Cricetulus griseus: one gene and its partners. Each later gene encodes a partner of the first gene's protein in a complex. Links are inferred from orthologs where the notes say so. Each region holds a gene or a part of one and is shown in the gene's direction. Other genes may lie near its edges. The genes, in order: Myo6, Clta, Tom1 and Gipc2.

What was found.
Region 2: the proteins of Myo6 (region 1) and Clta are in contact, whole or in part, in an NMR structure (PDB 6E5N), measured with the Homo sapiens proteins. The link is inferred for Cricetulus griseus from reciprocal best matches to the Homo sapiens genes MYO6 and CLTA. Residues at the interface, in NP_001355794.1 of Homo sapiens: Met1053, Thr1054, Pro1055, Met1058, Ala1059, Met1062, Ser1087, Trp1089, Lys1090, Tyr1091, Glu1113, Arg1117, Leu1118, Val1120, Tyr1121, Trp1124, Asn1128; in NP_009027.1 of Homo sapiens: Glu47, Asn48, Glu50, Ala51, Phe52, Ile54, Leu55, Asp56, Gly57, Gly58, Ala59, Pro60, Gly61.
Region 3: the proteins of Myo6 (region 1) and Tom1 are in contact, whole or in part, in a crystal structure (PDB 6J56), measured with the Homo sapiens proteins. The link is inferred for Cricetulus griseus from reciprocal best matches to the Homo sapiens genes MYO6 and TOM1. Residues at the interface, in NP_001355794.1 of Homo sapiens: Ile1182, Phe1184, Trp1202, Gln1214, Glu1216, His1218, Asp1220, Lys1221, Pro1222, Ile1224, Leu1226, Glu1234, Met1235, Cys1236, Leu1238, Glu1242, Thr1243, Gly1244, Leu1245, Arg1247; in NP_005479.1 of Homo sapiens: Ser440, Glu441, Phe443, Phe446, Leu447, Arg450, Ala451, Ala453, Ala454, Asp455, Leu457, Pro458, Asn459, Leu460, Ser461.
Region 4: the proteins of Myo6 (region 1) and Gipc2 are in contact, whole or in part, in a crystal structure (PDB 5V6H), measured with the Mus musculus proteins. The link is inferred for Cricetulus griseus from reciprocal best matches to the Homo sapiens genes MYO6 and GIPC2. Residues at the interface, in NP_001034635.2 of Mus musculus: Ser1055, Lys1056, Trp1057, Lys1058, Tyr1059, Arg1084, Arg1085, Leu1086, Val1088, Tyr1089, Trp1092, Lys1093, Asn1096; in NP_058563.1 of Mus musculus: Glu255, Leu256, Tyr257, Met258, Gly259, Ile260, Asp262, Asp264, Leu265, Thr268, Thr289, Leu290, Asp292, Phe293, Ala294, Pro296.

The regions. Positions count from the first base shown.
Region 1 is NC_048597.1:191,154,324-191,161,896, forward strand, and holds part of Myo6 (unconventional myosin-VI), read left to right. Parts: intron 1-2,626; coding exon 2,627-2,732; intron 2,733-5,193; coding exon 5,194-5,249; intron 5,250-5,688; coding exon 5,689-5,786; intron 5,787-6,493; coding exon 6,494-6,658; intron 6,659-7,573. UniProt on the Homo sapiens protein: Myosins are actin-based motor molecules with ATPase activity. Unconventional myosins serve in intracellular movements. Myosin 6 is a reverse-direction motor protein that moves towards the minus-end of actin filaments.
Region 2 is NC_048595.1:99,473,458-99,481,030, reverse strand, and holds part of Clta (clathrin light chain A), read left to right. Parts: intron 1-5,154; coding exon 5,155-5,266; intron 5,267-7,573. UniProt on the Homo sapiens protein: Clathrin is the major protein of the polyhedral coat of coated pits and vesicles.
Region 3 is NC_048596.1:150,804,593-150,812,878, forward strand, and holds the start of Tom1 (target of Myb protein 1), read left to right. Parts: upstream 1-3,671; 5' UTR 3,672-3,777; coding exon 3,778-3,829; intron 3,830-8,286. Other genes in the region: Hmgxb4 (HMG domain-containing protein 4), read left to right, coding at 96-140.
Region 4 is NW_023276806.1:7,254,714-7,261,863, forward strand, and holds the end of Gipc2 (PDZ domain-containing protein GIPC2), read left to right. Parts: intron 1-4,091; coding exon 4,092-4,240; 3' UTR 4,241-4,341; downstream 4,342-7,150.

The DNA.
Region 1 (7,573 bases):
GGTGGTCTCTTTTACAGCTCTGAGACAAGGCCTCTTCCTCTCATAGTTTCAACATCACTTGCAAATATGTTACTTGGGCCAGACTGGAACTAGGTTTTTTGTTTTGTTTTGTTTTTGTTCTTTTTTGAGACCAGTGTTTTTCTCTGTGGCTCTGGCTGTCCTGGAACTCACTCTGTAGATGAGGCTGGCCTTGAACTCAGAGATCCCTCTGCCTCTACTTCCCAAGTGATGGAATTAAAGGTGTGTGCCACCACCACTTGGCTCCAAGTGGCATGGTAAGATTTGAAGAGCTGTTATAGCAGGGTTCCTCCCTGTATTATCTTGCACTATAGCTTTATAAAACTACAGTATTTCAAGTGACTGAGAAAGCTAAGTGGAAAAACAATAGTGTCTGTCTTGACTTTCTCAGCCTCTCATCCTGAAGACTCTGGTTTAGAGGCACAGAGAGGTGAAGCAATTGATCAGAATTAGAGTTACATTCCACTTGTAACCTGACTGATTTGGATGCGTTGGCTAAGCCTTTGTAGTGGTACATAAGCAGTAGCTGGGTATCTTGTTTTAGTGCTCTTTCTTGTGCAGTGTGTTTCTCCTTAGACGTTCACAAGACGTTGTGCTTGTGTTTTGACTTAACTACACTTCACTTCTAGATTTGGTTGTTGTATATGGGCAGATAAACATGCTACTCAGAAGCAGTGCTACACCCAACTGACTTACAGTTCTCAAATGCTTTGGTGAACACTGGAATGTTCTCCTACCAGCACAGTCATTAGAATCTGAATATAATGAAGCTCATCACTGGAGAAAAGTTATATGCTTAAAATGAAAATAAACCAGCTTTTGTTTTATAGCCTTTACTGCTAAAGGTGTTTAGAATGGCAGTATGAGGCAAACTATAAGAAGGCCTTTGTAGGTTGGACAGTGAGATGTGTGTGCTGCTTATGGTCATCAGTCTTGTTACTACTGAAATATCTCTTGTGAAGAAGCAGGTTATTTAGCTCATAGCCTGGGGGCATCATAATCCATAGCATAGCACAGGCTCTGTGGTGTAGACCACCTCTTGGCTGCATCCCCTCTTGGCACAGAGCAATGGCTACAGGAACACATAGTTGATCTCCAACCAGATGTAGAGGCTCAGAGTTCATTGTTGAAGAAGAGGCAGAGAGACTGTAAGAGCAGAGGTGATGGGCGAATATAGGACATGGTGTTTTCTGGATACAATCAGAGGTACCAGGCTTGCTCTTTTTATAGCAACCCTCTTGTAAGAACTCAAGGGAACAGGTGAGAAACCACCTTGTCAGAGTGTGTATCCAGTCACCCAAGGGCCTCTTACTGGGTCCTCCTTCCCAAAGGCTCCTCTGCCTTCCAGCAGTATCACTTTGCATCACAGTGGGCTGGTGGGAATACCCATGCAATATTGTTTGTAGCTTATTCTTAGAGCCAAAGCCATTTGTCATTTGTAAAGCTATTTTTTTTGTATGTATAGCACATGTCTTCTTGAGACAAATTGCTTTGCAACTATTTTTTTTAAATGTTTTTTTGTGGTGAGATATTGTTTATGAGTTATTAAAGCTTGTGTTTGCTGTGCAAAAATGAGTTCATGATGACATTTTCATAGGAAATTATGTCATGCATTTTTCTCATATCCTCCTCTTTATCCTCTGTTGTCCCTCTGTTCTTTCTTGCTGGACCCTCCTCTTCACAAGTTAGTCTCCCTTCTGCTTTCAAGTTACATGAGAGAAAATGTAGGATATCTGTCTTTCTGAGTGTGGGGACATTGTTGTTCCATTAGAGGGTCTGTTTATATTTTAGGAAGCTTCTGCAGCAGTAGATTTTCATGACTGCTTTTAGGAAGTCTTTAGCATGAGTTATCTCTCCCCATATTTCCTCCTTTATCCTGCCCTTCTGTTCCTCACCCTTTTCCCCTCCCTCTTTTATTCTGCTTTCCCATTCCTACCCCATTTAACCATTGTTGTTCCATTATTCCCCTTTATGTTACTGCATCCTATTCCCCCTCCCCTGAAAGCCCCACTTCCTAATGGTCCCCTACTTATGTCTTGACTTCTATGGTTATTCCAAATGACACACACACACACACACACACATCTGAAGATTCAAGGCTAACACTCACAAGTGAGAGAAAACATGTGATGTTTATCTTTGTGTGTTTGGTTTCCTCACTCAGCTTTAGCAAAAATGCAACTCTAAGATTTACAGGCAAGTGGATGGAGCTGGAAATAATTTCTGTAGATTTATTTTTCAGTTGTTTTTCTCTCTCACAATGGATTCAGTTGCCAAATTTCTCATTGGAAACTCATTGCTTCTTGTTTTTCACTGGGGACCTCATTAGTTATGCACACTGAACATTTTCTTTCCCTCTGCAGATCTGCTCTGGCATTTGGGCAAGCTGAGCCAAAGTCAATGTGGAGACAATCTAACACTCTAGCACAATCTTGAGATGTTCGGATTTCCTATTACTTGTCTTTTAGGAACATTGCAAGTGAATGCTTACAGAAACCTTTGGATGACTTTTAACACACATTCATGACTTCTTTAGGAGTAAAGACCCTTACACTAAACTCTTGTCAGTGACTCAGCTTGCTGTATTACTGTCTTACTTTGCCTCCAGCTGACAAGGCTTTTCGAGACATGAAGGTGCTCAAGATGAGTCAGTCTATCATTGTGTCTGGAGAATCGGGAGCTGGCAAAACAGAAAATACAAAGTTTGTTCTAAGGTGAGTATTTAGCTGATCTGAAATGTTCTGAGCAGTAGTAAAAGAAAGCTTTACCACTAAGTTTGTCGACTGCCCACTTTGAAGTTCAGCAATGCTAAGCACACTCACATCGTCACATTCATGTCATTGCGTTGTTTCTATTCCTCACCTCACAAAACCCAGAACTGTACAAAGCACATGAATAAACTATTACTCCTTCAGATGCTGTACTCATTAAATAGTACATAAATAAGATATTACTTCCTGTTTGGGTTTCTATGAGTTTCTCTGAGTACCTATTTAAGCAGCATCATATAGTATTAGTCTTTCAGTGACTTCTTTGTTTCATTTAGTTTAATATGGGATTCACTCACGTTTGAGCTGGTTATAGTGACATGCACCTATGTGTGTACACACACAATTCACACACACACACACACACACACACACACCCTCAGCTTCTTAGGAGATTGAGTCAGGAAGATAACTTTCGTTTCAAGGGCATAGGAGCCTAAAAAACTTTATAAGACCCTGACTCTTAAAAAGATATAATCACTAGTGTTATAGTATGTTATAGTATGCATTAGAATTTCCTTCCTGAATTTTAGGGCTGAATAAATTTCATTGCAGGAATTTATTTTATTTGCTGTATTTGTACATGTATTGATAGGCAGTTGGGTTGTTTCTGTTATTTGGCCATTGTGAATAGTGCAGTTTTGAGTGTGTGTGTGTGTGTGTGTGTGTGTGTGTGTGTGTGTGTGTAGGGGTAATCACAGGGTATTTAAGCAGATTGACTTTTAATACTGTTGTATACTGTATGGAATAGTTTGGAAGAAAGAAGCGTGGAAGTCAATCTCTCTGTTGTAGATAGCTGGCTCTGATGTGTTGTTTCTTGGAGGATTCTATATGAAGTTAGTGCTTGATAGGCAGTGACAAACCCAGGAATATTCTTTCAAAATCCAAATGGACATTCTATTGTCTTTCTTTAATTAAAATTTTTATTCATTTTACATACAAACCACAGTTCACCTTCTCTCCCCTCATCCCTCTCCTCTCCTTATGTCCCCCCAACCTACCCCACATCCACTCCTCAGAAAAAGGGTAAGGCCTCCTGTGAAGAGTCAACAAAGCCTGGTACATTGAGTTGATGCAGGACAAAAACCATCCCCCCTTCATCGAGGTTGAGTAAGGCATTCCATCCAAAAAGCCAGCTCATGTACCAGGGATAGATCCTGGTCCCACTGACAGGAGTCCCACAAACAGACCAGGCTACCAAACTGTCGCCCACATGCAGAGGGCCTAGTTCAGTCCCATGCAGGTTCCCAGCTGTTAGTCTAAAGTCAGTGAGCTCCCAGAAGTTAAGTGAGTTGTCTCTGTGGGTTCCCCTGTCTCATTCTTGACCCCTTTTGCTCATATAATCCCTCCTCCCTCTCTTTGATTGGATTTCCAGAGCTTGGCCTGGCGCTTGGCTATGGATCTCCATTGTATTCTCAATGTTGGTGCTTTGAAATATATTTGAAACTACTTTTTATTTAGACTTCCTCTTATCCCTCTCTCATCAGATCCCCTTTCTACCATTATACAAAACTCTCAACACGTGGTGTATAGCCACAACCTTTTTAAAGTGGAAGGAGCATTGCCACATGACTATAGTCTTATTCTTTAATTTAAATTCTGTAAATTGTCTCATTGCTGTGACAAAATATCAGACAAGAAGGAATCAAGAGAGGAAGAGTTCATCTTGACTCATGGTTCAAGGGTTCAAACACACCATGGTGGAGAAGGCGTGCTGGCAGGAGTTGGTCACATTGAAGCCACCCACAGTCAGGGAGTAGAGAGGGATGAGTGAGTGCTGTCCTTAGCCTGTTAGACCTTCTCCACATGGTCTGGGATCCCAGTACATGGCATGCTGTCACTCATGCTAAGGGTGGGTCTTCCCACCTCAGTTATCTAACAAATATCAATCCCTCACAGACGTGGCCATAGACCTGTCTTCTAGGTCATTCTAGGTCCTATGGAGTTGATGATCAATGCCAATCATCACACATACCAAAGGAAGTTAAATCCAGTGGTGAAGATACTGCTAGGACCAGCACATTCTGAATTATTATCAGTATTGTTTCTAATTTATTACAGTTCTTAGTTTTTTCATGGTGGGGTTCTTTATGAAGGTTTCTATTTCTTATGGAAGTGTATAGAGTTATTAAGTTAAATAGTTAATGGGATACTTATGTAAATCTAGTTGAAAATTTGTTAAAAATCAGAGTATTTCCAAACATATAATTCCATGACCTGCACATACCCACACAAGACACATACAGAAGCATAAATAAAAATATAAAAAAATTTAAAAACAATACTAAACAGTTACAATGATGATCCATGTTCCATGTTTCAGTTTGATATATATGTTAAATAGTAAATTTATAAATATATTGTCCTGAATATTATTCAGTTTTTTAAAATTCTATATTTTAAACAGATACCTGACAGAATCTTATGGAACTGGTCAAGATATTGATGATAGAATTGTTGAAGGTATTGTTGATTTTTATTTTTTAATGTTGGGTACCTCTAAAGTTAACTTAGAAGAATCTTATCTGAGACCTACAATGCTTTTCTTTCAGAGGTGGAAGAGACTTTCTACCTCCTATAAATATTTGCTCAGATATTACTTTCATGCTGATCTATTAACCTATTGTCTTTCTCTGTGCCAGAGGCTAGTCTCATAGATGACGTTAGACCTTGTCCACTTGTCAATCAAAAATAAAACCATGACAGCGGGTTAACATTTCACACTTGTGGAATTTGACATTGCTGGATAATTCTTCCATACTAATATTTCTAAAAGCATCTATTCCATCACTTTCCCCGAATTTTCCCCTGTGGAGATGTAATATGTATATTGCTTTATAATTTCTCTTCATGCCTTTCTCGTGATTTTTCTGGTGAAGCATTTTCATTTCTTTTTCAACAGCTAACCCTCTTTTAGAAGCCTTTGGAAATGCAAAGACTGTTCGTAACAATAATAGCAGTCGATTTGGAAAATTTGTGGAAATTCACTTCAATGAAAAGGTAAAAGAAAGCTGCTTTTGGGATACATTAGGGGAGTGTTTGTGGTAAGTGTAAGGGTCTTATTAGAATTGGAATTAGCACAGTTCTTCCTAAGATTATTACTATGATTATTATTGTAATTATTATGGTGTGTGTGCTTGTGTGCATTTACAGTGACTTCAGAATTTCTATTCAGTTTAAATTAAAATATTGGAGTTGACTGCGTTATCAATCATAGCGTTGTAGTTAATTTTTTCTCATACTTGATTCTTTCATTGTTTTGATAACATGTAATAATGTTCATGTTCACGGGCACAGCATGGTACATAGTGATGTGTATATCTGTGGATCTGTATAGTCTGTGAGGATCACATCAGAGCAGTTAGTGTCTTCTCAGCATGAGGTGAGTTTGATGGCAGTCTGACAGCTCTTCAGCAGCTGCCCAGTGGGCTGCTGGGGACACTGGGCCGACCACAAAGTCAGTTCTGATTCTGCAGAGGCTCAAAAGCTAGAAGGGATCAGGGTGGAGACCGGATGATAACAGTGTTTAAAATGAAGGATGAGCTGTAGAAATACTCTGAGCTTACATTTAGTTTTTTTTTTGTAATATTTGATAAATTTTTTGACTTCTTTGCTAAGCAAATGATTATTAGAAAAGATTGAATTAACATTAAGTTATATTTCAGTTCCATAGATGCAAAAAATGTATTTTCTGTTTTGTCTTTTAGAGTTCAGTTGTTGGAGGATTCGTTTCTCATTATCTCCTAGAGAAGTCTAGGATCTGTGTTCAAGGCAAAGAGGAGCGGAATTACCATATTTTTTACAGGTTGTGTGCTGGGGCTTCAGAAGACATTAGGGAGAAGCTTCACTTGAGTTCTCCAGATAATTTTCGGGTAGGTTGAAGGAAAACACATTTTATACGAGGTTTGCAAATTGTTTACTCTCTCAGTGCTAAAACTCACTGCATTTTGATACCTAGATGTATTTGTATATAACTAACATTAAATGAAGTATGGTGGGCTTTCTGAATCTGCAGATTTTATATCTCAGGCTTAATTAATCATGAATTGAAAATATTGGGGATAAGAAAGAATACATCTATACTGAGCATGTATTAGTTCTGTATTATTTTTACTAAATAGCAAGGAATAATATTCCTTCGCAGAATGTTTACATTGTAGTAAGGATTATAAATAATTTCCACATAATTCGAAGTATTTGACAGGCTGTGTGTTTGCAGATCATGTACAAGTGTGATGCTGTTTTAAAAGGTTCGCAAACTTAGGTATCTACTATCCAGAAGGGGCCAAGGTATTGATTCCCCTTCGACACCATGGATACCTGAGATGTAACCAGATGATGTGTTAGACTTATAGTCTTGCTGACGACCTCTCTGTTGAGATTTATTTGTAAGTCTATCATGAGTTCAGTATCTCTAATATGAAAACCCCAAATCTCAAATACTGTGAAGTCTGGGTCTTTGTAGTTTTGAATTTGTGAGCTCACCAGGAAAATGAAACTTTATGCAAATACTCTGAAATGTAAGCAACTCTGCAATCTGAATCACTTTTTCAAAATACATGAGATAAGTGATTCTCAACATGCATAATAGTATATGAGAAGGCATGTAATTCAGTAGGTAAAAGGACAGTTGTTTAAAATCTTATTTAAACCCAGTTGGAAATTTATAAGGTTTTGTAATACTAGCCTTAAAATTACCTTTAGTGTAGCCGTAGAAACTTTGATCACTGAGCCAATGTTAATAAATAATGCATCATTATACCCCTTTGTTCAGTTCAGCAATAAAC
Region 2 (7,573 bases), on another chromosome or scaffold:
AATGTGTTAGTAATAGTAACTTCCTATTGCTATGATGACATAGTATAAAGTCAGTGTAAAAGAGGAGGGTTTAATTTGGCTCACAGTTTCAGAAATGGGCCACTAGCTCTATTACTTTTAGGTCTGGCAAGACGGAAACTTCATGGCAGGACAGACAGAAGAAATCTGTTCACCTCATGGCAGCTAGGAAACAGCCCGGGAAGCCAAGGACAACATAGACCTTTAAAGGCACTCTTCGTAGCCACCACCTCCCAGTGGTCCATTCAGTTGTGAATCAGTGGATTGATTCATTAATTAGGTTAGATCTCTGTGGTCCAGTCACTTTCTAACAAATAGCACCATGTGCGCCGCCCCCCCCCCCCTTTTTAAGTTTCATATGAATGTTTTGACTACATGTATGTTTGTTCCACCTGTGTGTCTGGTGCTCGACATGTAGGCAAGGGTAGCTTAGAACACACAGAGATCTTGCCTGCCTCTCTGCCTACTAAGTGTTGAGATTAAAGGCTGCACTGTCATGCCCAGCTCTTAGATGATTTTCCTTGTAGTTATATTGTGTATCTGTGTGCCTGTGTATACTCACTTAATTTTAGATTTGTTGTATTTTGTGTACATAAATGTTTTGCTTACATGTTTTTATGTGTACCATGTGTGCCAAGTGTGCTTGGTGCCTTCAGAGGACAGAAGAGGGTGTAGGATCCCTTGGAACTGAGATGGGTAGTTGTGAGCCAGCACGTGGGTGCTATGAACCTCAAATGCTTCTGCTGTAGGAGCAAGTGCTTTTAACTACTGAGACATCTCTCCAGTCCTGTATATACATGCTTTATAGAAATTCTTGCACATACTTTTGTTTTGGCTGATCTGCTCTATCATACAGACATGACTTCCTATGTTATTCTTTTTTTTTTTTTCCCCAAGACAGGGTTTCTCTGTGGCTTTGGAGGCTGTCCTGGAACTAGCTCTTGTAGACCAGGCTGGTCTCTAACTCACAGAGATCCACCTGCCTCCTGAGTGCTGGGACCAAAGGTGTCTGCCACCAACACCCAGCATGTTTTATTCTATAACTCTAGAAATACCTCACTCTTCATGTACTGGCACCAGTAGTAGGTTTCTCCCAGAACACTGACCTAGTGAAAACATGACTCCTTATTTTTCAGGTGGGGTAACTGACACCTGGAAACAGGAAAGAACTTGACCCAAATAACCTAAGCAGTTAATGCCAGATCTTTTATCCCTAGCACAGTTTTCAAAGCTTTCAGAACAAAGAGTGACCCTGCATAGCAGTACTTGGTATAGATACCTGGTATCTATACTGATGGCCAATTGGTCTTTGTTTTTAATAAAGTTTGTGTTGTGTCAATACATAATATAGTAGCCATTTGATAAAGTAGTGTGTGTATGTGGTAATAAACAATTTAGTAGCCAGTGACCACATGTGGGTATTCAGGTACGCATGACTGGAATTCAGGTGCTCAGTCTTAAAACACTGTTCATTTTTAGTAAGCTTATACTCCAGTTGCAATGTGTGTCTGGAAACTAATGTATTGGAGAGTGTAGCTTCAGGGAGATGAATAACAGGCTGCTGGGTGTCTGTGCCTTTATTGAAGGAGAGTTTGTCTTCACAGACAGAAGTCTCTTTTTTAAAAAAATTACCCAGTTTGTGTATTGAACTATTTGAGAGTTTTTTTTTTTTTTTTTTTTTTTTTTTTTTTAAGAGGTCTTCTCCCACCTCCACAGAGCCTCACAGTGTAGCCCTGCTTGGCCTAACATTTGTTGTATAAACCAAACTGGCTTTAAACTTACGATCCTCCTAAGTGCTGAGATTACAGGTGTGCATCACCACTCCCAGCTCAAGGTAGCTTCTTGAGGGAAGTCAAGCATTTGGCCTTGTATTTCAGTCAGACTGTCACAGATTAGGGGTTTCTGCAGTTTCACCCTTCTCTCTGCAAGAACGGAGAAGGCACAGATGTTAAAATAGAGCTGGTGGCCATGTTCTCAAATAATCTTGCTCTAAGGAGCAATGAGGGTGGCTGGGGAAGAAGGTGCCTGTCAGTGTGCCTTGCTCTCTAAGGAGACTCTTCCTTTCTGCTCACCTAAGTCTCTGTCCCACCAGGTTAAACCCTAAGGATTCTGAGTTACTTCTCGTGGTAGTCCTAATCAGCAAGGCCAGAAGACAAATGTCCTGTTATAGATGGTCACAGTTTTACTTCTGTTAGACCAATCCTTCTTAGAAAAATGTCTGTCTATTCTAACCCCAACATCTAATAATATAGACTAGCTGTGTGATACATACCTCTAATCCTAGCACTTGGGAGACAGACAAGTGTGAGGCCAGTCTGGGCTGTATAGCAGGTTATTGTCCATTTTGGGCTACTTTATGAGACTCTGAAAAAAGAAAGATTTTTTTCCCCTAAAGACTGAATCTGGCTGGGCGTTGGTGGTGCACGCCTTTAATCCCAGCACTCGGGAGGCAGAGGCAGGCGGATCTCTGTGAGTTTGAAGCCAGCCTGGTCTCTAGAGCGAGTGCCAGGATAGGCTCCTAAGCTACACAGAGAAACCCTGTCTCGAAAAAACAAACAAACAAAAAAGACTGAATCTGTCTGTTATGTATCACTTATATCTTTGGCTGTCCTGGAACTTGCTATGTAGATCAGGCTGTTCTCAAACTTCAGAAATCCACCTGCCTGTGCCTCCCAAGTGCTGGGATTAAAGGTGTGTAGCACCATGCCCAGCCCTAACAAAAGCAATGATCATTAGAATACATGGAAAGGATATATTCCAATCTAAAAGCACTTAAATATTTTTAAATTTTTCCTTATTTGTTGGGGAACCTGCATAAGACTGAATTAGACTCCCTTAATATAGGTGACAGTGGTTCGAGTGGGATAATGTATGAGGCCATTGGCAGTGGGTCCAAGATCTAACTCTAGTCACAGTCTGACATAGTGGAGCCCATTCTATATGGAGAGATACCTTGCCCAGCCTAGACACAGGGGTGGAGAGGTGCCTTGGTCCTGCCTCAGCTAGAAGATGGGACAGACTTAGTAGACTTCCTAGGGAGGCCTCTGTGTCCTTACTTGTGTGTGTGTGTGTGCTCGTGTATACGCATGCACTCATGCTTTTGCTTTGATGTGCACGTGGAAGCCACAGGGATAGCTTTAAGGAGTTGGTTCTTTTCTTCTACTGTAGGGATCCAGAGAGCGAACATGGGACATCAGGCTTACACGGCAAGTGCTTTTACCCACTGAGCTATCTTGCCAGCCCAAAAAGGGCTTTTTGGGAAGTAATTCCACTTTGCATCTAGGTTTGGTAGAAGCTTTTTAGTTCCTTGAACTTCATCAACTTCCAGAATCCTCTGTTCTACGTGTGCTGTGGACAGGACCATCAGAAGTTTCCTGGCTGTATATTAGAGTCCTTAGTGGAAACTCCAACTAAATGAGTCCCCCCTGAGTGCTAGGCCATCTTCTAATGAGTTCAACAACAAAATGGAGAGCTTGTAATAATGACGTGAAACTTGGCAGTGACTCCTAATCATCACCAGGCTACTCCAGCTAGCTGTAGCCTGTGCTGATTATTGGTGCATTTCTTGCAAAGGTCATAAAAGTGCCCAGGAATGCTCTGTTTCTTCAGATGATGACTTGGCATCACCTTACTTTCTACCTCCTTCTCCAGGATACTAATTACAGCTTTCGCTCTTGCTCTGTGTTTTTAGAACTCTCTGGATTACTGGTAGCCTTGATGGTCACATCATGTGATTATTTCCAGGCTTGCATAATAAGGAAGTCAAGTGTGAGCTTGAGAGCAGACGAGGTCTTTGCTCTGCCCTTAACTGTGCCAAGTCCACTCAGTCTTCTGAGGTGGTTTGTTTCTTTTCCCCTCACTGCTGAAAATGGACCTAGATTGATCTTGGGAGTACTGTACAGATTTCGATGCATGTAAAACACTTGCTGGAGGGGACGCCCTTGAGAACATGTGACCATTAGAGTGAGCTCAAGTGCCAAGCACACTACACCTTGTGACAGATGATGGTCAGCTAAACACTTTAGAAAAACCATATTTAATCTTAAGAAGCTTCACATTTGGTCTGGGAAGATGGCTAAGAGCATTTGTTGCTCTTGCAGAGGACCCAGGTTCAGTTCCTAGCACCCACATGGCAGCTCACAACTGTCTGTAACTCCATTTCCACAGGTTCTCATGCCTTCTGACCTCTGGGTACCTGCATTCTCGAATGCACACACATTTACACACAGGAATAACAACAACAAAAACGTAGAGAAAAGACATTTCATGTTTGAGAATCCAGACTAGAAACCCTGCATGTGTGAGTTTTCTCCCTCTCGTGTTTTGAGTAATTCTGGGTGATTGTCAAACAGTGATCCCGTGTCCTTGGTCCTGCAGTCCCCTCCATCCCTGCTTGCTTTCACAGCTGGCTCTGTTACAAGCTAACTCCGTCTGTGGCTCTGTGTCCTACCAGTCCTGGATTCCCAAGTCACTTCTGCCTCTGCTAATTTTCTTCTTAGACCTGCCTCATACAAGTGTTTCTACTGTGTTTATAGTTAGGAGAGCAAGTTAGTGTTTTATAAAAACATGAATGGTTACTGTGGGGGTAGACTGTACGGTTTGTGGGAAGAGTAGAAGATACTGTTCACTTGGGACAGTGCTCATCTAGCATGCACAGCATCCTGAGGCCAGTCCCCAGCATGGCACTAAATGGGACAGAGTTGTACATGTCTGTAGTCTAGAGATGTACATTTGGGAGGTAGAATCAGGAGAACCACAAGTTCAAGGTTGTCTATGTTCAGAGTCATCCTGACCTATATGAAATACTGGCTCAAAAAAGAAAAAAGTTGTATCTATCCCTGTGCACCACATGTGTGACGTACTTGTAGGGGTCAGAAGAGGGTATCAGATCCCCTGGAACTAGAATTAATGTGTGGATGTGAGCCATGTGTGATAGATATGGGTGTTGGAAATGGAGCGTGGTCCTCTGGAAGAGCAAAGCAGCCATCCCTCTAGCTGCTTCCCGTCGTTTTCCCAGCGTATACGTACACATACATTCCCATACTTAGGTAAATTCAGTAAGACCAAAATGTTACATGTTGAAATGTACTTAAATTTTGCCTTCCCTCAGTTGTATTCTTTCCTCTCTTTTAAAAGATGCCAATTCTCGGAAGCAGGAAGCAGAGTGGAAAGAAAAGGCAATAAAGGAGCTGGAAGAATGGTATGCGAGACAGGATGAACAGCTACAGAAAACAAAAGCAAACAACAGGTCAGTCCACTGTGGGTCTCTGTGACTGAATCACATCCATTTTCCAGATCCACTTGTATGAAAGGTCTTGGCCAATTTGGAAGAAACTGCTAGAAACAAGCTGCAAAAACTCCTGGGTCTTATGAGAATAATTCAGCCTGGATTGAGTTGGGCTCTTAAACTGGGTTTGGTTTCATTGGCTGTAATGGTGTGATCCAGGGAAGTTAGCACTGGAGAACCCTGAGATGAAAGGTCAGTTGCAGAGTCTCATTACTTGAAAACAATTACAGACTAACTTAGGCCACATTCCATAAGTGTAGCCTTGCCCTCCTAACGAGGCTTTGTGAGGGTCCTTAGAATGGGCATGCTCTGTAATTAGGTAACTCAGGATATTCCAACATGGACTACAGAATTAAGGGTTCACTGGCTTCTTCCTATGCTTAAGGTGTCTTGAATAAAATGCTGTTTTCAGAATACATTTTTCATTTGCTGAAAGTTAATAATGTAGGGAGAAAATGCTCATTTTCCTGTCATTACCATGCATTAGCTGTGGTATGCACTCATTTTTGAGGAGCCCTTCCTTGGATAGTTTAGCAAGACACTTGTGGTATAGCCTCCTGTAGGCAAGGCATTTTAACTTGCTTTCTGCTGGATTCAGAGCCACCTTTTACTGAGTAGGAGGCATGTCACTCATTTCATTGTTTAAAAAAACAAAAATGAAACACAAGACAGACAAGGGTGGGGCGTTGGGTTGATCTCTGAGGGCTGGGTCTGGCGCTGCTTTTTGGGCTGGTCTTAGATAGAAATCTGTCAGAAAATGTAGCTGATACCATTGTGAGGTGTCTGTGACAGAATAGATGGGCTCTTTCATATGGCAGTCCTATGAAACTTCCTGTGCTTTTTTTGGTCCTCCTTGGCACTGTTCTTTGATGCCAGGCCCAGACCTCTTAACCTGGTCATTCTCTGAGGGATACACCCTAGAACAGTGTCTTCAGGTTCTATTTGAAATTTTATGTCAATTAGGGTGGAGACTCCTGTCTGGTCAGGGCTAGTTGCCACCCAGCCGCCCCAAGCTTGTGCTGTGCTGGTGTGAAGTGCTGACAGGTTCCTCTGCTTTGCCTCCTCTAGATGATTGCCCCCCAGGTTCGAGTCTGATCTGTAGTAAAGAAGGGTGCTGTGGTGTGGTGATATTCCCCAGCAATGATGTACTCCACAGTAACTGGGCCAAATGCACTAACTCTTCCTGTACCAGATCCTCAGGACTTCACAACTTGACAAATAGATTTCAGACTCAATAGTGAATGTATTGGGAACAGGCTTCCTGTTGCAGAAGGTTTTGCTTACTGCCTCTCTAAAGGAGTGCCCCATGTATGTTGTAGGACTTAACCTTAGAGGCTGAGGTGCTGAGCATGCAGCCAGATTGTAGTACTTTTCTTTTCTTGCAAATGTAGGGTATTGAGTTGTGTGATCCCCTCATGTTCCAGAGAGAAAAGATTTCTCATGGAGTGTTAATGTGACACTGCTACAATCCAGCTTCAGTGCCTGTCAAACCTGCTCACAGGCTGGAGTCTGTGCATAGAGCTGGAGGTACTCTAGCCAACCACCCCCAGGCTCCTAGGATAGAAGATATGTCCTCACTATTGCAGTAGTTTTGTTTATTTTTTGAGACAGTCTCTTTGTGTCGTCTGGGCTGTTCTGGGCTCTCTCTGTGAGCTCCGTCTGGCGGGTGACCTCCACCTCACAGAGAGCCCCTGCTTGTGCCTCCAGAGCAGAGGGTTAAGTTAAAGGCATGCACTGCTGCCGCTGCTGTTGCCACCACCACCACCAGGCTTCCAGTGATTTCTTCAGAGGGTCAGAGGATGGAGGTTAGGAGGCATTGCAGATCATTAGAAGTTCTAGAAATGAAGAAAGCTCTGTGGTAGAGCACTTGCCTACCATATTGCAAGGCCCGGAGTTCAGCCCACAGCACCACAGAGTGAAGGAGGAGGGTGGAGGTCAAGCCATTTATGGACTACAATCTGGCTGAGATAGAAATGAATGCTTTGTATGCACAGACCTTGTCTCAAAAAAAAAAAAAAAGAACCTCACCAAGACATTGAGAGCAAGTCCAGGCCCTGTCCTGCAGAGGGGGGTGTGGAAGAGTCAGCAGACAGGAGGGGTCTTTGTTCCCATGTCGATGGTACTGTGTTGTCAGTGCCAAACTGCATCTCCCTTTATCCTAAGTCATTCAGTGGTAGCCCATAAGAAAAAATCCTCTTTTCAGAGAGTCAGAAGAGTGGTAGTCTCCTGCAGTTCATCCTACAACAACTACCTTCCCAAGCAAGAAGA
Region 3 (8,286 bases), on another chromosome or scaffold:
CTCTAGCCCACTTTCCCATCTCTCGCTTGAACATGACATTTCTCAGGGACCACAGTGAGGCATGCCACAGTTGAGCCCTTTCTCCTTGTTTGCAGTCAAACACGCTGGACAACATTGCTTACATCATGCCTGGACTGTGACCTCCAAGAAGCCTGGGACAGAAACCTGTCTACCCCTTCGCTAGTTTATGTATATATGACTGTTCCAGATCCTCCACTGATCTCTGGGTGTAGGTTTTTAATTTTTGTATCTATCTATACATATATATAATGTACAGTATATACATAGGATTATAACTACTTTGCTTTTAATAATTTTATGAAATGGCAAGGGTTTAGCTGAAAAGGAAACTTTGGCATGAATGTGGGTTTGGGATTATTTTTTTGTGTGAAAAAAAATCTGCCTTAAAAAATCAGTGTAATTTGGGGACTAGGGGCTTATTCTGGGTGCCATGTGTATCTCGTTATAGACAGCTAAAATGTGATTTTTTTTCCCCCAAGCTTGGTTGTACCTCCAGACCCATCACTGACCATTTGCCTTACCTGTCTTATAATTGGAAATATAGTAAAGATTATGGGAGGAGACCAGCTGACTACAAACTATTTGACTCAAAGTGACCTGAGGGGAGGTAGAGATGGCTTAGGCGGACTAATAGGGGACTCATTCCATTTCTACTAAACAGGTATCTGTGTCTCCAATTTTATTGTAACCATTGTTACCACAGAGTCATTGATACCACTGATAGCCTTAGTTATGTGATTCTTGGCAGCAGAGAAATAGCTTGGAGAGGCCAAAGCTGTTGGTGCCACCTTTGAGCCTACATTGGCTGGCCAAGAAGGCTTGGTCTATAAAAACCAAAGCTGGTATCTTTTGTTTTGTTGGTTGGCCACCAAATCCTGAGAGATTCTGCAGCTTCTTAGTTCAGCTCTGGTTCCCCTGATGGGCAGATTGTGCTCTGCATTCCTCACACATGTGGATCACAAAGGAACCCTCGGTTCTCAATGGGGTTATCTATGTGTGTATGTGAGCATATATTTTAATTATGTGTATTTAACTCTTTAGAATTTTTAGATTTTAATTTATCCTGTAAATTTCTGTATATATAATTTAATAACAAGCCTCCACCAGCAGTAGCATGTGGAGCATACAGACTTGTCATTTCTTCGTGTCTGTCTAAAAGCTCCAGGTCATCCATATGTTAAGGTGTTATGACTCAGAAAGGAGCTTCATGGCCCTCAATAATGTTAGCAAAGTGAAGTAGAAAGAAATGTCACAATTCCCAACTGCCCTTATTCCCAAAGACCTGCTTCCCCATTAAAAGATAGTTGAGCACTCCAGAGTTGTTTGGAAGCTTGGTGTGAGATTCCCTTCCCTGCCAAAACCATGCTGAGGTAACCATGCTTTCTCCCTCTGGCCTAAATGGGACAAGGCAGCATCACAGTAAGCTTTGGGGACCATGTAGTCAGCTGCCATCCTGTTTAATTCCTTCCCATATAGCCTCACTGTGTTTCATAGCTTAGCGCCTCACAGGCGTTCTGGACATCCAGTCTTTCTCAGTTCAGAGCAGTGTTGAGATGTATTCTGGGAAATGGAGAAAGAAACAGGAATATGTGGGAACTGAATCAAGAAGAACCAAAATTTAAATTTCAGCTAACAGGTCAGAATCTCATTTGAACCTGCAGAAGTTTCCTTTAAGAAACAGGGTGTGAAGGAGAGGCCAAGAAGGCACACATAGTGCAGGAAGCAGCCAGTCCTCTGTTGTCATTGCTACAGACAGCAGTGAACTCCTGGTGATAACCGGCTTTTTCGTGTTCATTTTCCTCTGAAACCTAGCCCTGTTGTATTTGTATTAAAGATTTGTACACATTTGTATAATAATCTGTAACTTGTGGTATTTGGTACTATTAGAAGAAAAACTTTGGATTCAGGCCTTCTTGCTGTTTTTATATCATTGTTTTATTTTGTTTTTTAAATAAATCCTAGTGGTTTGATCCAAATCTTACAGTTGTATAAAAAACAAAATTTTGTACTTATATTAAAGATCTCATTTTTAATATTTGTGGTAGCCTTAGCTGTCTTTTCCCTTGGGTTACTCATAGTTGCTATAAAATTATAAAACTGTTATTCACTCTGTTCTACTCTTAATTTTTCGATAAAAGAGGTCAGGAGCTGAAGAGATGGTTCAGTGGTTAAGAATACTGCCTGCTCTTGCAGAGGACCCAAGCTAAAGCCCAGCTCCAGAGGATCAGGCACCCTCTCGAGCCTCCTTAGGCATCAGCACACAAATACATACACACACACAGATACACACACATACACATAATTTATATTTAAAAAGTTTTAAGCCAAAACCTGGAATAAAGGTCAAGTTTTCATATTCTTACCCATCCTGGGTCTCAGGCTCCCAAGTATCATTTGCATATTGTAAAACTAGAGAACCTGATAAATTGTGGCTCTAATGCTTGGCCAGTGAAACCCTATACATTATGGTATTGGCTTAAATCAAGTATCCATCAGTATTTTGTCAGGGTTGCATGAAAATCCTGTGCTGAAAATATATAGTCCATGTCCCAGGAGCTTCCAGAGTCTTGTCTGAAGGGGAAAAAAAAAAAGACTCGCTGTCTCTGAGTCTATAGCCAGCTGGCCCAAAGTGAATGTTTGGTAATATTATGAACATTAAATATGTGGAAATTTGACCTTTCATGATTTAAAAAAAGTTAATAGAATACAACATGTTAAAAAGTATAAGTAGTGGGGGCTGGGGACCATTGGCTGTTCTTCCAGAGGTCTTGAGTTCAATTTTCAGCAACCACATGGTGACTCACAACCATCTGTCAAGATCTGGTGCCCTCTTCTGGCTTGCAGTCAGAACGCTGTATACATAATAAATAAATCTTTAAAAAAATTTAAGTAACAAAATAAAACTGGTGTTAAAGGCTGGGTTTTAATGATCACGACTGTAATTCCAACACTCAGGAGATCTGAATTTGAGACTAGCCTAGGGAGAGTATATATTAAAAAAAAAAAAAAAAAAGGCTGCAGAGTATGAGGAGTGAGATGGTTCACAGGTACTAGCTGCCATGTTTAGTCTGTGAGACCTACATAATGAGGATTGCTGCATGTTGTGATTTTTGACCTCTGTATTCACCATGACACACACACACTAAAGAGAATTAAAACATGTCTTATAAGGATAAGTCAAAGAAGAAATCACCGTCATTGAATGCCCATTACTGAACAATTTGCATGTCATCTTAATACTCTCAAAGCGTTATGGATAGTGTCCCCCTTTACCACTGAGGGAAACAGATGCAGAAAAAGCACTGTCCCCATTTGCCAAGTAGAACTGCCCTGGACATAGATGGAGTTCATTCGCTGCCTTAAGAGAGCACAAGTCCAGACCCTTGCCTCCTCTGGGCTACCCACAGGTGGCTCGTGGAGCAGGGAGACATCAAAAAGTCAAGGAGGCTGTTACTCTCAGGGCTACGTCCCCAGGACTAAAGGCTAAGACCCTGCTACCAGCCTGGGCTTGAGTTTGTGTAACTTGATCCAAGTCTTTCCCTGGCCAGAGACCCAGTTTCCGGATGTGAAGACTTCTAGGCCCCGCCGCAGAGTGAACTGAGGCCTTTCAGGGGCGTGGCCTGGAGGGCGGGGCCTCGGGGCTGTGCTCCAGAGCCGCCGCCCCGCGGGCCGGCCAGCGGGTCACGTGACGGGTCGGCGGCGCCGGCGGTTGCTGTCACCTGATTCTGGGAGCTGGTGGCAGCGGTAGCTGCGGCAATGGACTTTCTCCTGGGAAACCCGTTCAGCTCTCCGGTGGGACAACGCATCGGTGAGTCCCGGGAGCCGCGCGCAGCCGCGCCCCTGTCTAGCTCTGGCCGGGGACCTGTCGGAGTCCTTGGAGGAGGGAGGCAGACGGCGAGGCTGGCGCGGCGCTCTTGGCTCCGCCCCACCTGTGTTTCACCTGATTGACAAGATTGCGGACCAGTCAGAAGCCTCGTGTGGGGATTGATGCTGAGGGTGACCAATAGGCAGGGAGAGGAGGCGGATGTGGCTCAGCCAATGCGCGCGTGCTGGGGTCCGGAGTAGAAGGAGAAAGTTTAGGTTAAAGGGACTGCTGTGGTGAGCCGGTGTGGGGCCCCGCCGCCGCCAGGCTCGGGCAGGCCGAAGGTCCCTCCCGGGTTGGCCGCGCTCAGGTCATTCGCCGCGTCACCGGCCCCTCACATTCCGGGACTCCTGAGGTGTCTGGGCTCGGCCACGCCTCTGTCCCCGCTGTCGGGAGACTCGGGTTTGTGTGACGTCGCCTCGACCGTAGTTAAGGGACGGTGGCCCGGCCTTCCTGGGGTTGTTTGATCATTACATGCATTATTAAGCGCAAGGCACTGAGGATGCTGCCTGACACATGGCTAATGCTTGTCATTGTCACTGTGGTACCACCTTGTGGGGCTGGAGCCCGTGGGAAAGTGCCGGTTCCCAGTACCTACTCAGGTGGCGACATTTCTCCAGGGATGGGTGGTCTGGGTGTGACCCCTCTTCTTGTCTGAAGGGTCCCGACAGCATTGTGTAATTCTTTTTGGTGGCTTTTCTCCTTGGATCCAGACTGAACAGGCTGGATCTTTTAGTTAAGGCATTCTTTGCATTCTTCCTGCCAAGGCTTCCCCGAAGTCGTTAGCCCAGCTTTGTGTTGTAACCGCCACTGCTGTAAGTTTGGAGGTTCTCATCAGTTCTCTGCAGGGCATTGCTAGTGCCTGAAACCCAGGTGCTTCGCAAAAGCCCCATCTTTGAGTCCTCGTTTGTGACCTGGAAAGAGAAGACAACCCTCTTCACAAACTTCCTATGTAAAAACAAGCTAATTATTCCATTCTTCAAAGCCAACCACAAAGTCCTGAGACTTTCTGGATGTGCTTATTTAGGCTCAGTGTGCATATCAGTTGTTCAGAACTCAACACCTCTTCCTACCCTGAAAGGTTGCCTTCCTTGGGCAAGAAATACTTCTGGACAGACAGAATGGTGCTATATCAATACCTCAGTGCTAACTACATCTCACAACTGGACCCTCTGCCTTTTTTATGTCAGAATTGGCTGGACCCATCAGATTCAGACTGGCATCTGTGGAGTTCCCAGTAATGCTCTTTGCAATTGGCTAGGAGACCACAAATTTTACAGGTGTGAGCCACCAGAAGCGGTGGCTCACACCTGTAATCCTAGCACTTGGTAGACTAAGACAGGAGGATTGCCACCAAGTCTCAGGCTACCTGGACTACAAAATGAGTTTCAGGGCAGCATGGAGCTGCAGAATAAGACCCTGATTCAAAACAAAAAATACCAGTCTGCAAAGTCCTGTTACTGAAGGGAGGGGATTGAGTTCTACAAAGGGAAGGTGGTGAAGACTGAGACTCACCCAAAAACCCAGTGAATTGATAGCACAACTGAAATGAGCCTTCCAGGGCTACTAAAGAGGCTGTAAAAGAGCCCAGTGTGGTGGAGCATGCCTATAATTCCAGCCCTCAGGAGGCTGAAGTGGGACTATTTTCAGTTCAAGTCCAGCCTGGACTACATAGAGAGCCCTACCTTGAACAATATCAGTGTTCCATAGTCTTCCATGTATAGAGAGACAGAAGTACTGGAGATTGAAAGGGGTATGTATCTGTCTGTCTGAGATAGAGTCTCAGTTGTTGCCCAGGTTGGCCTGGAACTTATGGACCCAAGCAGTCCTCCCTGATCAGCTTCCAAGTATCAGAGACCTTGTCCCTATGCCAATGGGCCTGGCTGGCTGTGATGATCGATGGCCAGGTTTTAGGTGCTTGCATTCCTGTAATTCAGACCCTCCCCCCTCCCTTTGCTACAGGAGTAAAATGGTGTCTTCTCAGGTCTGGCTTCATGCCCTGAGAGTAGAATCTTGTATGATTGGCATACTAGAGAACAGCAATCACTAAATGGTGCTAATCAGGGCCCAGTGTCACTGTCCTCACAATTCATATACACCTGATGCTTGCTGGTCTCACTGCCTACAATGTCTGCTTCTGGGAGGAGCTGGGCTCATCCCTTAGAGCACTGGGCACCATCACCTCTTCCCTGCGGCCTTTCCTAACTCCAGCTCCAATTGCTGCTCTTTTGTTCTCTTGTCACTCTGCTTCCAGTAGGCACAAAACAGCTCTCACCTCAAGGGAAATCAGAGATAGTTTATCCCTGAGCCAAATATGAATTGCTGTGACCCAGGAACACAGATTCCTATCACCCCAAATAACATGATCCAGTATGGGAAATGGTTTCATGATGTTTTCGTAGCTACAGAAAACAAAAGTAAGCCAGAAATCAGGCAATTGGGATACAGCAAAGCACGAATATCTATGCTGCACTTCTCAGGTGCTAGCTGATGGCATTCCTAGCCCTTGGGTTGGTGGACACTAGTTTTCTATTAACTTATTCCAAAAGTGTTGCCTGATAGTCACAGACTTGTTAGATCACAACTCGGAGATGAGCAATACATGCTTAATAAAGGGTCTAAAGCAAGGTCATTTGTCTCAAGATCTGCAACATTTCCACTCTCCACAATCACAAAGTTGTTGTCAGTCAGCCTTCTAACATCTTCAACACAGAAGTAGCTTTTCTGAGAACTTCAGTTTGTATGCTTCGACTCTTCTGCTTGAGAGTGGTTGTAAAAAATGCCAATTCCCCGGAGAGTGCCTGCACAGCGAGAGGGTGTAGGGAATAGGGAACACCAGCGCCTGCTATCTCACCATCATTTACTGTTTCCACCTCCGTCACACAGATGTGCCACCATCCCTGCAAGTCTGCCCTCAGGCTAGGCTTGACTTGAGATCAGGAGCTATCCCTTCCTTTCCTGGTGCCTTAGCACCTAGCAGATTGTGAAAAAAGAAAAAAAGAAGGATGTAGCTGCTCCTAGGTGTGGTGGAGGAGAAAGTTTTTTATAGACTAAAGGGAGAACATAGTGAGTGAGCCATACCATGTGAGGAAATGGGGAGGGAAGAGGACACACACACACACACACACACACACACACACACACACACACACACACACACACATACACACACACACCAGAGGGTAGAGCTGTCCTTGGATTCCCAAAGCCTACCCATAGGCCCATGGACAGAAATCAGAAATGAATGGCCAGCATCAGGGCTCTGAGGTTCCTTTGGGGAAGATAGGCTAGAAACACACAGGCTAGGCCATGTTGTAGATGTTGGGCAGTCACTGTCTACTGCTGACTATCTTCTATCCCCATCTGTAATGAAACACAGAGGTGCCCCACTTCCTCCCTTCCCCAAAGACAGTTGAACAGCAGCTGAAACGTAATTGAAATGGGGAACAGTTCGTACTACAAGGCACAGAGGGGCAGTGTGGTGTTACAAAGTCAGTGCTGGGCTAAGCAGCCAACTCTGGACCTGTCAGAGGTGTGCCAGTTACCTTGTTCATAATGAGATCCCCTGCTACCTCTTGATGAAAGGTAAAGGTCAAAGGAGAAGTTGCCTTGGAGGACTCTTGCATTGGCTGTTAGGGTGGACTAGAGCAGGCTTACTCTGCAAAGGGCCACAAAGTCAGTCCTCAAGGCTTAGGAAGGCCATATGGTCTCTGTTAAATACTTCAACAAGGCCATTATTGCATAAGAGCAGCCAGAGACAATAGGTAAATACATGGGTGTGGCCATGCTCCAATAAAACTGTGGGCTGTAGAATTTGAGTTTATGTCATTTCCATGTGCCATTAAGTATTATTGTTGTCGGTGTGGTGTTGCATGCCTTTCATGCCGCACTCAGGAGGCAGAGGCAGACAAATCTCTGTGCGGTCCAGGCCAGCCTGTTCCATGGAGTGAGACTTAGTCTACATAGGGCTATGCCCTGGCTGGACAAATACTAGTAAAAGGCCAAGGTGACCTTGAATCAAAATACTAGCTCTGTGTCCTGGAGTAGGTTATTAACCTCACTATCTTCTGGTCCTTCATCTGTATAAGGAGGCTAATAATAGCACCTGTCAGGTGGGATTGCTGTGTCATGTGTGGCATTTGAAGCACTTGGACTGGTGCCTGCCAGGCAAGAGGAGTCCACAGCTGGGGACTCTCATTGGTGGTATCACTGTTCTGGGCATACTTGGTGACGGAGCTAAGGTAACAATGCAGGGCCCAGACTCCAGGGCGGCTTTTGTGTTAGTCCTTGTGTCCCTGTGATGTGAACAGTCACTGGCTGGGTGGCTGGGCGGCAGGGCATTCACAGCAGGTCAGGTTTCAGGCTGTAGGATGGAGCCAGCTCTCCTGGGGATAAAGCTCAGC
Region 4 (7,150 bases), on another chromosome or scaffold:
TGGTTTTGAGTTGTCACATGGGTGCTGGGAATTGAACCTGAGAGCTCCTAACCACTGAGCCATCTCTTCGTCCCCCCAAATAAAACACATCTTAAACAACTATTTTATTTATGTGTGTGTTTAGCCTGCATGTTCACCATGTGCGTGCCTGATGCCCTCGGAGGTTAGAAGAGGGCGTCAGAGCCCTTGGAACTGGAATTATGGATGATTGTGAGCTGCCATGTAGAAGCTGTTTTCTGAACCTGTGTCATCTGTAGGAACAAGTGTTCATCATAGATGAGCCATCTCTGAAACCCTTAAATCTTAAAAAACACAAATACAGTACAGCAGAGTGATGGATAACAGGGAAATGATTATAAATGGATTTAAATCATAAGTCTTTAAAGATGAATCTTCTGGGTTCATGTGATGGTTCAGCAGGTAAAAGCCATTGCCCACTAAGCCTGGTGACCCAACTTTGGTTCCAGGGATCCATAAGGTGGAAGGAGAGTACGGCTTCCTGAAAACTGAAGTTGTCTTTTGACATTCATAATCCACACTGTGGTGTACCAGTGTAGCACAAGTTCTAATAGGTCTTAATAATAAAAACCCAGAGACAAATATTGGGGTTAAAGCTGAAGATCAGAGAAGCAAATCAGGCCAGCTACTGGAGAGTTCTCACCTCTACCAATGCTCAGACCAGTAGGAAGGGCGATCCTGACCTCAGACTGCAACTGTCTCCTCCAAACCTCAGACTGCCCTGCTCTCCTGTCCCCTCCAGCCTTATCTTCCTCTCTAGTGCTGGGATTAAAGGTGTGGGATCCCAAGTGCTGAGATCACCTTTGGGTGAGCTCTATTCCTCTTTTAGTCTGGATCGACTTTGTGTAGCTCAGGGTGGCCTTGAATTAACAGGGATCCATCTGCCTCTGTCTCCCCAGTGCTGGGATTAAAGGTGTGTGCCTCCACTGCCTGGCCTCTCTGACTGGCGAGTGTGACTAGCTTTGCACTCTGATCTTTAGGTAGACTTTAATTGTTAGATCATAAACAAAATATCACCTCACACCAGATGTTTCCTCCCCAAACACACACACACACACACACACACACACACACACACACACACAAAAAAAAAAAAAAAAAACACTGAAGAAATAAATGTAATTTAGACAAGAACCTTAAAATAGAAGAATGAATTTTCTCTTGTGCTCAGAAATGCAGACCATTAAATATTCTAAAATATTCATTGAAATCACCCAGTGGTCCCTTGTTAGTTTAATTAAACATCTGTAGCAAATTCCTTTGATTGACACGAAGCCATTGTCATCATACATGATTAGTAGTGTCATCAGTCACTTAGGGAGGCAAAGTGTAAGGAAAGTAATTATTTGAAGAATTTCAGCTGTGGTTAAATTAGGAATTTCTGTTGTTCAGAAATGATTAGCATGAAATGTAATTCAGAAATGTTAACCTAACAGACAAATGAAAGCCTTTGCTTTTCAGCAAGCCAGTACTACTAGCTTCTGGGAATGCCTTTCCTCCCTCCCTCCCTCCCTCCCTCCCTCCCTCCCTCCCTCCCTCCCTCCTCCCTCCCTCCCTCCCTCCCTCCCTCCCTGCCTCCCTCCCTGCCTCCCTACCTCCTGCTCCTGCTTTCTTTCTGCTTTTTTGAGACAGGATTTCTCTGTGTAGCCCTGGCTCTCCTGGCACTCACTCTGTAGACCAGGTGACCCTCAAACTCAGAGATCTGCCTGTCTCTGCCTCCCGAGTGCTGTGATTAAAGGTGTGGGCCACCACCGCCTAGCTTCAAATGAGTCTTTGTAGGAAATACCTCTGAGGATGAATGTACGTCAATGGCTGTGAAGCTACGCTGTGAAATGTGATTTTTCAACCAGCCAAGCTAATTACCTTGAGATGTTATCTGTAAAGAAAAAAAATTCCAGAAGATGTTGAGTGTGTGTGTGTGTGTGTGTGTGTGTGTGTGTGTGTGTGTGTGTGTGTGTGGGTGATCTAACTCAAGGATACATTGTTGTACTTTCCACCTTCAAGATTTAAGGCAATGGTGTAACTGCCTGTGTACCTACAGTGTTTCCTGATACCAGTCTAGGATTTTGAAACTAATTTTGACAGCTTAAGAATTATAAAAGTTAATCTGTTAAAAATACTAGAATGTGTGGGAAGGCAATTAAAATGGTAGTTCCTAGGTTCTTTCCCCCACAATACCTTTGATAGCTGGTTAGAAAGATATATATTAATGGTGTTTCCATAGGGGGGAACATATTTCTTCCTTGGGTTCCTGGTACTGGTCAGTGAAGTCACACACTGTGAAGAGCTCCTTCTGAGTTGAGATTAATGAAATCTGGAGTAGATTTTTATTAAAAAGTGCACTGCAGAGGCTGGAGAAACAGCTCATTGGTTAAGAGTGCTGGTGGCTCTTTCAGAGGACCTGTTCCTCACAGCATGTCACAGTCATCTGTGACATTCAGTCACAGGGCATGTACCATCTTCTTCTGGCCTCCATAGGCACTGCAGACTTATGGTGTACAGACATATATGCTGGCAAGACATCCATACACATAAAAAATAACAGATAAATAAACAATGTTTTAAAACACATATTGTAGGGCTGAGGGTACAGCTTATAGATAGAACATCTACCTGGCATATATGAGACCCTGATACCACACACACACACACACACACACACACACACACACACACACACTATATACACATGATACACACACACACACACACACACACACACACACACATATAACTATATACATACACACATATAATAAAAATGTTAAGTAATAGGTCAATTTTTATACCTAAAAGTTCTTTAAATATTCACAAACTTAATGGAGACTGTGTTGGTCAAAATTTTGTGGTGGTAGGAGCATAAAAATACTCTCAGAGTGGCCACAAGAGGTCAGCACTTAGCTGTAATATGTGGCATTAAAAAAAATCCTTTGTGGTCACTTGTGCGTCTCAGGAGTGGAACTTCATGGGCTTCTCTATCCTGGGCAAAGTCCTTAGGGAATGTGTGCTCATGGGAGTGCTGTTTCCCAGACATAGAACACAGAGTTTAAGTAGCTTCCTAGGAAGGCAGACCACGCATCCCATGGCTAATTTTCAGTCCTAAACCAGAAGGTGCTCAAGAAAGATGCTGCAGAACTCAAACCGCTGTAGTTGTAAACTATTCCTTTGGAAAGCGAAGAATACGCTCCAGCTAGTTGGGAGTAGGGCGTGGATGGAAGGCACAGAGGGTGTTACTGTGGGGAGGTGAGGTGTGTGCTAAGATTCCTGGTGACGTTAGCCGTGAGCTTCTCTTCTCTCTTCTCTTCTCTTCTCTTCTCTTCTCTTCTCTTCTCTTCTCTTCTCTTCTCTTCTCTTCTCTTCTCTTCTCTTCTCTTCTCTCCCCTCCTCCCTCCCTCCTCTCTCTCTCTCTCTCTCTCTCTCTCTCTCTCTCTCTCTCTGTCTGTCTCCCCCCTCTTCCTCCTATGGTTTTTCGAGAAAAGGTTTCTCTGTATTGCTTTGGAGCCTGTCCTGTAGACCAGGCTGGCATCAAACCCACAGAGATCTGCCTGCCTCTGTCTCCCGAGTACTGGGATCGAAGGCGTGTGCCACCAATGCCCGGCTGCCATGAGGTTTTCTTAAAATGTGTCTTCCACCCTCAGAATTGCTGGAGGGTTGCAGAGAGGACTCAGTAAAATACTTCTCTTGGATACACAAGTTTGATCTACAGAGCCCGTGTAAAATGTAGATGTGGTGGTGCAGGCTTTAGAATTTAGTGTTGGGGAAGTGGGGATAGGAGGATTACTGGTGCCAGCACAGCCTGCCTAGTGAGCTCCAGGCCAGTGAGGGCATCAAAAAGGTGGCTGGCATCTCAGGGTTGACACCCAAGGTTGCATCTTGCCTCTCTGTGCATATTCATATACCCCACACCAGCCCAAAACCAAAACAACACCAAAGAATTCTAGAGACTCCCAAGTGATGGACTCTCAGGCTGGGGACAGGGCAGTGGTGACAGCTTCATACCAGATACAGAGGACAGAGTCAGTCCTCTGGTGCTGGCTCATGGCTTATTAACCTTTAAAAATTATCATTGACAGCTACGACCATGTTTGAAGCTGGAAAAGACAAAAGCAACCCGGATGAGTTTGCCGTGGCACTTGATGAGACTCTGGGAGACTTTGCCTTTCCTGACGAATTTGTGTTTGATGTGTGGGGAGCCATTGGCGACGTGAAACAGGGAAGATGATGGTGTGGACAGTCTTCCTCAGAAACGACGAGGGTTCCTTCCAGGGCAGTCTCCTTGGGGACTCTCAGGGATCTTTATGGACTCTGCTTTAGCTTCATGTGTATGAGACACAGTCTATGAAACGTAATTCTGATTTATGGATAATGTTTAATATAGTTTCCTATGCAGTATGCTTAAGATAAATTAAACTATGATTCATTTTAATGTTGGTTCAAAAGCCTCTGAAAGTGATTTTTAAAGAAACATTTCTACATGGGTGGTCTCGTCCCCTGTTGACACTCATGCCTTGCGTGGCACATTAAGTAGGTTGCTTACAGCAGCTTTGTGGGTATTGGTCCTCCATTATCTTTTAAAAAGTGTATTTGTCATTACGGTGTGTGTTGATTGTATGTGTACCATTGCTTGAGGAGGCCACAAGGGGGCGTCTGCAACTGTCTGTAACTCTCCAGCGGGATTTGCACACCGCTGTGAGCTGCACATGGGTGCTGGGAGCTGAACCTGGGCTGTCTGCAGGAGCAGCCAGTGCTCTGCAGTGCTGAACCCTCTCTCCAGACTCCTTTCTTCCAAAATCTTAACACGATGGGAATTAGGCTTAGAGCCCGATTTACCTCCTAACATCTTCATTTCACTACATTAATCTAAACAGGATACATATAGAAAATGAAATACAGATGACATCTGCCACAATCTAGAAGCACAGTTTTGATTTTTAAATGAGCAAGATTGTTTTGGCTTACTGGTTCCTAGGACACTCTTTGTAAAGCATTGACTTAAAAAAAAATTACGATTGCCCTTAAGAGCAATTGGCTGAAGTTGTGCTGTGTGCACAAATTGTGTGTGTTTGTGTGTGTGTGTGTATGTTTGTGTGCATGTGTTTGTATGTTGTGTGTGTATGTGTGTGTGTATGTTTGTGTGTATGTGTGTGTATGTGTGTGCATGTGTGTGTATGTTTGTGTACATGTGTGTGTATGTGTGTATGTGTTTGTATGTTGTGTGTATGTGTGTAGGGGCTGGGGATTGAAAAAGTGACGGGAAGAAGCAGTTGTGCTTTTTGTTTTTTCCTGACTTTGAAGTATTCTTTCTGTTTCCATCTACAGTGTCTTTCCTGATAACTTTTCTAAGGCCTCCAGGCCAGGGTTTATATTTGTAGAACTTTTATTTGGAAATATATTTGCTCAGAAAATAACTGTGTTTGAGATGCCGCCTTTGGTGTGCGTGTGTGTGGTTTAAGCAGCAATCGTTTTCATCCTTCCAAACCTTGGAGGGAACGCTGTCAGGAATTGATTCCCGGTGGAAATAAGGGGGAGGGCAGAGTGGAAAGACTCGCGCTGGGCTGTTATTTCAGAGTTCTCGCACCCTTCCTCCAACCCTTACCTTGTTGAGAAGATTGAGGGGAAATGACAGTCTCACTCTTCTTGGACATTTCACAAATGCAATGGAGATGGAAATAAATGGCTCCAGAGTAGATCATTTAATAAGGTGGAGGACAGCGTGGCCGAGCGCTCCAGTGCATCTGATGGAAAACACTGGGCACGGCGGCTGTCATCAGGCATGATAGCCGGGAGGGTGTCTTCCGGGAAACCAGAGGTAATGCCTTTTTCATGAGGGTTACTGTCGGGACAACTCTGTCCTTTTCTCTAAAGATGTCGCTTTTGCTGTCACCTCTTCTGTGACAGTAGAGCAACACTCTGGCTGATTTTCCTTGTTTATTAGTCTGAACCCTGCATGTGAGCCACTTGAACTAATGTGGAGCACAAGTATCCCCTAAGAGTCCAGCTGTTTAATTCTTCTGTGTGCTGTTAGTGTGATCTGTTGGTTAGTGTTCAGCGAGTCTCCTTTGAAGGCTTCAAAAATGCCCGTACAGTCTTAGATACAAAGAAAGAGCCGATGTTTTAGGAACGGGAAAGTTGCTAGGTGAAGTCGGAGTCTCATAGATACATGGTGCTTTAAACAATAACAAAAGTGTAATTTTTTTTTGGTCAGTAGATGGTAGATTTGAAATGTTTATTATATGTTTTTATCATCATTGTGATTTTCTTTTGGTGTGTTTGCATGAGTGTGAGAGTGTGGGAATATGTATGTATGTAGGAGAGTGTGTGAGTGTGTGTCTGAAGTGCAAGCGTGTGACTGTGTTAGCGAGTGTGTGTGAGTGAGAGAACTGCTTTGAATGTGGAATTCATGTTTCTCTGGCTAGGCTGGGAGCTAGCTAGCTCCAGCAATCTTGTTCTTCATTGTTTCTTGTTCTTAGCGTTCCTTTTCTCATAGTTAGTCTGCACTCCACTCCGTGCTGTGGTTGCGGGCATGCATGGAATGGTACCCAATGTGTGCTGCTGTCCACTCCGTGCTGTGGTTGCGGGCATGCATGGAACCGTACCCTTTGGCCCTCATGCCAGCACAGGAAGCACTCTTTATTGCTGAGCCATCCCGTTCTCCTCGCCTTTGCTCTTTTCTTTTGACAAGGCCTCTCTGTGTTGTCTACTCTGGTCCTAGCCCAGGTCCTACTTTAGTCCTAAATACCCAGGACTGCTGATGCTTGCCACTGTGTCTGGCTAACTGGCTATTCTTTGCAGGTGTCATGAGGTAGCAGGAAGTTTGAGTCAAGGGAAGAATAGAGGAGAGCAAGAAAAGAGACACCATAATAGAGGAGCCATTATAGGCTTAAAGAGAATTCTGGCACTAGGGAAATGTCCAGAGATCAACAAGTTCAACCCCAACTAACAATATAAGCAATAGTTGAGAGGCTTCCTTAAATGCTCTTTTCCAATAATGATATTGATGCCTATGTTATATGTCATCCTAGCGTCTTCATCCAGTGGCTGATGTAAGCAGAAGCAGAAACCCACAGCTAAACACTGAGCTGAACTCCTGGAATCCAGTTGCAGAGAGGGAGGAGTGATGAGCAAAGGGGTT